Lonchura striata: one gene and its partner. The protein of the gene in region 1 purifies or fractionates together with the protein of each later gene. This does not show direct contact. Links are inferred from orthologs where the notes say so. Each region holds a gene or a part of one and is shown in the gene's direction. Other genes may lie near its edges.

The links.
Region 2: the proteins of PHF6 (region 1) and LYAR purify together in Homo sapiens (affinity purification with mass spectrometry; 3 studies listed by BioGRID and IntAct, with this or other methods). This does not show direct contact. The link is inferred for Lonchura striata from reciprocal best matches to the Homo sapiens genes PHF6 and LYAR.

The regions. Positions count from the first base shown.
Region 1 is NC_134616.1:6,951,793-6,955,703, reverse strand, and holds the start of PHF6 (PHD finger protein 6), read left to right. Parts: upstream 1-1,304; 5' UTR 1,305-1,428; intron 1,429-3,911.
Region 2 is NC_134606.1:13,231,012-13,234,922, forward strand, and holds the start of LYAR (cell growth-regulating nucleolar protein), read left to right. Parts: upstream 1-1,472; 5' UTR 1,473-1,541; intron 1,542-2,261; 5' UTR 2,262-2,307; coding exon 2,308-2,429; intron 2,430-2,738; coding exon 2,739-2,853; intron 2,854-3,911. Other genes in the region: ZBTB49 (zinc finger and BTB domain-containing protein 49), read right to left, coding at 1-36. UniProt on the Homo sapiens protein: Plays a role in the maintenance of the appropriate processing of 47S/45S pre-rRNA to 32S/30S pre-rRNAs and their subsequent processing to produce 18S and 28S rRNAs. Also acts at the level of transcription regulation.

The DNA.
Region 1 (3,911 bases):
TTCAGAGTATTTTTGTCTTCAGAAGTATTTTTGTCTTCAGAAGAAAGCACAACCACTGGAAAAGTTGTTTTCAGGCAAAACTCAAAGCAATTGTTTTATGGCTTGATTTCCCTCTCCAACAGCTGATAAACATTCACTGATAAGTAAACACCAAAGAACCCCAAAGAGAAAGGAGAGGTTTCCCTCAAGACATGCAGCAGCTTCTGGGAATAAATGAAGAAAATTTTAATTAATAAAGTTAATTAATTAATTGATAAAATATAACGAACAAAAGAAGATGGCAGGGATAAGTGTGTAAAACATCCATGTATTGTGATGTAAAATGGATGATGATGTTCAGGTGGTCAGGTGCTGGAATAGGCACCGTCCCTGGAGGTGTTTAAGAGATGTCTGGACCTGGCGCTGAGTGATGTGGTTTAGCATCATGGAATTGTCAAGGCGGGAAGAGACCGTCAAGACCATCAAATCCAGCCACCCACTCAGGGCACCGCAACCCCAAAACCACTAAACCACATCACCCAGCATTGCCACTGCCAGCCCGGAACCAAAGGTGCGTTTGAGAGGCGCCTAGATGTGGCGCTAAGCGATGCGGCTTAGGGGTTGTGGGGGCAGCGGTGGATGGACGGCTGGACTTGATGATCGCGAAGATCTTCCAACCCCGATCATTGCGTTGCGTTCCGTTCGGTTCCGCCCAGGGCGCCGTGAGGGCGGTCGGGGTTGGGGGGGCCGGAGGGGGCACCGTGAGGGAGCGCGCGCGCCGCCGCTCCCCCCTCCCCACGGGGCGCGCGCGCCGTGCCGCAGCGCCGCCCGCCCTTCGCCGCCCGCTCTGCGCACGCGCGCGGCACTGCGGCTGCGCGGCCGCAGCAGCGCGACTCCCGCGTACCCCCCCCCCAACAAACAACGGCTGCGGGTGAGAGCAGCGCATGCGCACCGCTCCCTCTGTGCCCGCGCCGCCCGCCAGCCGCGCTCGCTCGCGCCGGGACCTCGCGGGGAAGCGGCGGCGGCGGCTGCGCATGCGCAGAGTCGCTGTTCCTCACACACCCCCATCTTCCGTTTCCCGGCCTCGCGGAGAAGCTCCGCGGGGGCAGCGGGAACCGGGAGCGGGAAAGGCGTGCGCGCTACCGCGCGTGCGCAACGGAGGCCGCGAGCACACCTCCCTAACCCCCGGTCTCCCGCCAATCGGACACCGCCCCGCAGCGCCGCCGCGGCCCAGGCGCGCCGTGCGTGCGTCCGATCGTGCGTGCGTGCGTGCGTGCGTCTGCTCGTGCGTGCGTGCGTGCGTGCGTGCGCTCGGCGGCGGCGGCGGCGGCGCGTCCCGAGCCCCGAATGAACGCGCCGGTCCCGGCGGGCGAGCGGCCCTGAGCGACCCGCGAGCGGGGACGGGCCGTGCCGAGCGGCTCCTCCGCCCGCGCCCCGCCCGCCGCACGGGTGAGTGACCGACGACCGACCCGCCGAGCGCCCGCTGCCCGCCCCGCCGCCGCTGCGCCGCGCTCCAGCGGCAGGCGCGGCGCCCCCGGCCCGCCCGCAGCCCCCGGCCCGGGGCCCGCCCGCCCGCAGCCGCCGCCGGTCCCGGGGCTTCCGCCGGCCCCTGCCAGCCCCGCGAGGGTCGCGGCACCCCGCAGTATTCCCTCAGGGTGCCCCGGGTGCCGGTGCCGCCCCCCTGCCCCCTCCCCGGGCCGGCGGTGCCGCTCGCTCCGCCCGCCCCGGCCCGCGCCCTCCTTGCAGGGAGGATCCGCCCCCCCCACCTCGTCTCCCGGTCCCGTTTCCCCCAAAATTTCATGGAATCGGGTGGGGGTCGCCCTGCCCGCGTCCCCCCGCGCTGCCCCCGGTACCCCTCGGCTGGGGCGGGCCGGGCCCCGGCGGTGCCGGCCGGGCCCCGCGGGGCGGTCGGGCGGGTCCTGCCCGGGATTTGCCGTCCTGCCCCGTCGGATCCCCGGGGAGGCGGCGGCAGAGGTGCCGCTATCGGCCCATCTCCCGCTCCCCGTGGGAGGATGTAAACTTTCCTGGAGATCCCTCAGCGCCGTCTGCCAGATCTCCCTGGCCGCGGGCTCTCTGTCATTCGTAGTCACCTGCTCTGCTCTCATTGTTTAGGCGTTCGAGGGTTTGTCCTTCTCCCCTCGTGTCTGCCCCTTTTTCGGGGTTTTTTTGGGTTTTTTTAAAGGAAGTTGTATGGATAAATTCCCATCCTACTTTATATAGTGACTGTAGGATGCTGTGTGAATGTAACTCTTGGATAAAAATTTCTGTGAGACTTGTGATTTGGGTTCTCAGCCACAGAACCCTACAGGGTACTTCCTGTCTCCTTTTCTTCACTCCCCCCTTCTCCAAAATAAACCTCCAACAACGAGTGTCCCACCCGGGAAACTGCGAAGCACTTGTAAGCTTGTGACTCTGGTATCTCCAGCGAGCATCCGGGAAAAATCAGCACAGATATTCTCTGTAGCTTTTCCTGAGAGACCAAACCACTTCAGCATCTGCAGTGGCATTTTCTGAAGCTTGTTTACTTCTCACAAGTTTTCCCTAGGTGTCTGAAATTTTCTTCACAAATAAAAATTCTAATCTTTTGACATATAGTTTGGGAATCATACAGGTCACACAGCAAAACAAACTTTACAAGTGCAGCGTGTAGAGATCACTATTTTTTGTAGGAAATACAGGTGAGGTTTTAACTATAATTAGGCTCCTGAAACATGTTTGGGAAATAAACAGAAATTAGAGTCCATGTTACTTTCCATTCTTTGGTGCTGAACAATGTCTCATGCACTGAGAGCATCCCGTGCCTGAGAGTTACTGAACTTGCACTTTTATTTTAGGAAATCTGTTGTCTAAAGCTCAGTAGAGCAGCACAGAAGCTACAAGAGGGTGTAAAACCTGGTGCTTTAAAGATAAAATAAAGATGCTGTGAGGGAAAGCAGCACATTTAATTCTTCAGTATTAACATAAGAAATGTGAATGCAAATGAACCCAAACTTTTCGATGAAGAATGGTTGAGTGAAATTCTGCTTGTGTGATTCTAGGGTACATGTAACTTCTCATTTCTTAAATCAAGCCCATGGAAAATTGATCTGTATGGAATAATCTTTGTGTCTGTAGTATGTGTGTTCCATTTTGGTGGAGACAGTGAACATCTCCCAGCCAGTGATTCCACAGTACATCACTCCTTGTGATCCAGTCTGTGAGACTTGGACAAAGCTGACAAGCAAGATTCTATCAACAGGAGATATAATTACTTTTTTTGTAATTCTTAATCATTTGTTAGCCTGTTAAACGTGGAAAACCAAAATATTGAGCTGTTTTTAAGTTGCATTTTTTCTCATTCCAATGAAATGTAGTTTGGTACTTGGTAAACTAGATTAGTTGCTCTGGGTGATTTAACTTGAGACATGAAAACAGAATTTTGAGTACTTGGATTCAGAATTGTGGGGCTGTAGCTGCATTACTTGGTTCATCTTTCTCAGAAAATCATGTTTTGTTTCTTTTTTTTATGAACAGGATAAGTGCATTTTGACACAAAGAAAAGTGGTCTGAGAGTAGTGTCTTCTCACATTTATGAGAAAGCAGATACAATTTATGGAGAGGTGTATAGATGTTTCTCATGCTAAGGTTTTTTTCAGCACTCTTTAAAAATGTATGAATAGTGTAAATGCCCAGTGAAACAAACAAAAAAAAAGCCACAAGAAATGTGGGATTGGAAAGAAAACTTTTAGATACTCTTGTAAAATGCTTTCAGTGTAATTTAATCCGATGGTGAAAAGAACATGAATTTCCTTCTTGGCCTGTTTGAGTTTTGAATAATTTTTCAAGTGTTAAATTATTTGTAATTGTGAAGTATTTAAAAACATATATTTGCTCTTTTTTTTTTTTTAAACAGTGTCCATGTATCGAGTAAAGATTGACATTATTTTTAACTT
Region 2 (3,911 bases), on another chromosome or scaffold:
CAGAAGATGACAGCTGTGGCTAGCAACAGTGTCCATGCTAGAAAATCATTAAATTACCTATAATGAGATAAAATGCTAAGGTGAATATTAAATTGCAAAATTAATTTAAAACATTAAGAACATTTTTACAATTTGCTTTAGCTTTCAAAGGAAGCAGACTTCAGTTTACACCTCCAATTTGATCGCTAATAACATTTTTCTGGTTAAAGATGAGTCACAATATTGTTCACCAACAGATACACAGCAATACACATATGAAACAGTGATTTTTAAGAGAGATTTGTTTATAACAGAGCATCTGCAAAAATCTAATGGTGCTGCCAATAAACTGAACTCCATAACCACAAAAAAATGCACCTCAATTTAGACAACTTCCACAATAATTAAGAGTCTAATGCAAAAACACATTGCATGTACAAAATCAGTAGCATTTGTAGAGGAAAGCCTCAGTTTCTTCATCCTTTAAACTCAAAAGGGAAAACTAGTATTATTTCAGGCATTTGTTGCTGTTCTAGCTACATACATTTCTACAATGTATCTGATTAATTAGACACATTAACATGGTATTGTTCTTAATACAATGTAAAATCTAAATGAAAAAGTCCCCTCTTTAGAGGTTGAATAGACAAGTCACATTCCAACACAACACATTTACATTGAATTCTATACTTCCTTTTCCCCACCCCCTCCAACAACGATGCAACACTTCCCCTGTGCGCTTGTAAACATGACAGTTCCAACTATTAGGACAATCTGAATTTCTAGTCTTCTAACTAGGAGAAAAACCTTCCTATTCTAAGGAATGAAGCAGGAAAACCACCTTTTAAGCATGACCAGATAGTGACTGCCCCATTCTCAAATCTCATGAACAATAAGGGTTCCACATTAATTTATCCTGATGTGCCCTGTCTCTGGCTGTATTACACTGGGAGGGGGGGGTGGTAGGGGTTACTACATTGTGCTTTTTCTCTATTAATGCTTATCATACTTTGACCAGGATTTAAAATAAAGGAACCACGTTAACAGGCTTTTCCTGTGAACATTTCCCACCGCGGCATCCTGCAATCACTTTGCCAGTGAAGTGTCTCTCATCCAGGGGCCGGGCACCGCGGCAGCCGCTCCGGCACAGCCGCTGTTCGGAGCTAAGCTCGCCTCGGCCAGGCTGGAGGAGCGGCACGGGGGAGAGGACAGGGGAGGGTCTGGTCGCCGCGGGCCGCTCTGCCCGGGGACAGCGCGGCGAGCGGCCGGTGCGGGCTGGGGGACGCAGCCCCGGGCAGCGGGAAACGCGCCGCGGCCCCAGGGCAGCAACCGGCCCGGCCCTGCGCTTACCGGCTCCGGCCTCCTCCCAGCTCCATCCCCGCCAGCGGCCGCTTCCGCCGCCGCGCCCTCCCCTTCCCCTTCCCCTTCCCGTTCCCGTTCCCGTTCCCGTTCCCGTTCCCGTTCCGGTGCGCGGGGCGGGGGCAGCGGGGGCAGCGCAGGCGCGGGCGGCGGGGGCCGGAGCGGGCGGTGCGGCGCGTGCCGCGCGGGCGGCGGCCGCTGAGGTGCGGGGGAGCGAGAGCGGGGGCGGCTCGGCTCGGCTCGGCTCGGCTCGGCTCGGCTCGGCTCGGCTCGGCTCGGCACGGCAGCAGCCGGCTGCCGCACAGGAGCGCGGGTGGCGGCCACGCCGGGCTTCCCACGCCGTGCGGCCCGGCCACCTCTCAGCGCTGCCGCGCGGCGGGGCACGGCCGAGAGGGGTCTGCAGCTGCGGGGAGCGGGATGGAGCGGCGGGGTCCCGCACGGGAGGGGAGGGGACCGGGAACGGCCCTGCGCGACGTATCCGCGCTGGGGCCGTACAGGCGACACCGGTTCCGCCGTTGGGGTGGCGGGTGCAGGGGTTACAGGTGTTCGGGTGATGGGTTCGGGGGTTACCCGTTCCTGGCTCGGGTGATGGGTTCGGGGGTTACCCGTTCCTGGCTCGGGTGATGGGTTCGGGGGTTACCCGTTCCTGGCTCGGGTGATGGGTTCGGGGGTTACCCGTTCCTGGTTCGGGTGATGGGTTCGGGGTCGCTGGTTCCCTGTTGGGGTGGCGGGTGCAGGGATTGTGGTTCCCGGGGTGCTGATCTCCCCTGCGCTCAGGGAGGGACTCGGGTGGAACGAGCTCTGACACGTGCAGCAGCGGGCTGCGCACCCTGTCTGTCAGTGGGTGCACGGCTGTGTTTCGCTTCGGCCCTCCAAGTGTTTCTTTCAAGCTATAAATTAAGATCTTCTTCTTGTATTCCTAGAGTTGCGTTTTTGTGGGAAGGAAGAGGCTCCTGACCACTTGCCAACATGGTAGTTTTCACATGCAATGCGTGTGGAGAAGCTGTGAAGAAAGCACAGGTTGAAAAGCATGTGAACATCTGCAGAAAGTGTCAGTGCCTGTCTTGCATGGATTGTGGCAAGGATTTCTGGTATGTAAAGAATGGGAAATAGCTTTGCTCACTCTACAGACTTACTTCCTCACTCTTGTCACAAATATAATTGATGCAAGTCAGAAACTTTCACTGAAAGCTGTAAGCATGACAGAAATGCCTGTGGTCTTACAAGCATTTACTTTAAGCACATCACATTTTTATAATTTAAGAGTTGACAGTAATAGGGTTTAAATGATCTGTTAATTTAAATTATCTATTACTTAATCTTGTTGGTTGGCTAAGTGTTGCATAGTTTGAAGAGTGAAGCATTTCAATGACCTGTGGTTAAAAATCTCTTATATTCAGGGGTGATGACTATAAAGAACACGTGAAGTGTGTAAGTGAAGACCAGAAATATGGTGGGAAAGGCTTTGAAGCCAAAACGAACAAAGGAGATGCTAAACAGCAGGAGTGGATTCAGGTATGTTTTTTATTGTGTGCACCTACAGTAACTATTGTCTGTAATTATCAAAGACAGAAAAGAGCCTATACTAGCTCAAGCCAGAGATCTGTTTTTATCAATATCCCCGGCTGTCTTCTGACATTTCCTTGACAGGTGTGTGTTTATCTCTTAAGAAAAGTGTCTTGTTTTGAATATGTCTCTTACTAGTTTGACTTAGTGTAATGTTCCCATCTGTATACAAAGAGACATTGGTAGTTGTCCCTCCTTTTCATGCCATTTATGCTTTTGTAGACCTCTGTCAGGCATCCCTCCCCATCTCATATTCTTTGTTCAAGGCTCAAAAATCCTGCCCTACTCAGTTGTTCTGCATATGTAAATTATATCTTTGGTCTTCTAAAATCTTCCCACTGTACTGTATGTTTGTGAAGTGCTGTTCAAGATATAAGAGAACCATAGATTTACCACGTGTCACAATTATGTTTTCTGTGTCCTTTATTCCTTTCTAACTGTTTTTGTCAGTTAATCTACTTTTGTGTGGTTTTTTAATTCGGTTTTTATACACCGCTGCTGGTCATTGTGCTGGCATTTTCATGGAATTGGCTATTTTGACCCTGAGATACTGTATCTAAGCTCCAATGGTCAACTAAAGCCTGCCATTTTAGATCTGAAATTAAGATTGCTTTTCCTTTTCTTCTGGCTTTATGTGAAGTTGTGTTGACTGTATTTCACTTTTTTATTACCTAGTCACTCATTTTCTTAAGATCTTTCTGGAATCCTCATAGTCCTCATCCTGAATAGCTCAATATCATTGGGTTATTTTCATTTTCCATCCTCTTGTCAGATATTTTGTAAGTATGTAAATTAATATGTAAATTTGTCAGCTGTTTTGTAAATATGTTGAACAGGAGAAGCTCCAGCATGGATAGAAATATCTCGTACTCTTTCTGTCTTACACAAGAATCTACCCTCTTATGGCTTTCATTCAAGGGTTTTTGGAAGGACCTCAAACTCATTTAAAACTCCATTAGTAGTAGGTTAGATCACATTTATGCATGGAAATTGTTGCTTTCTATCAT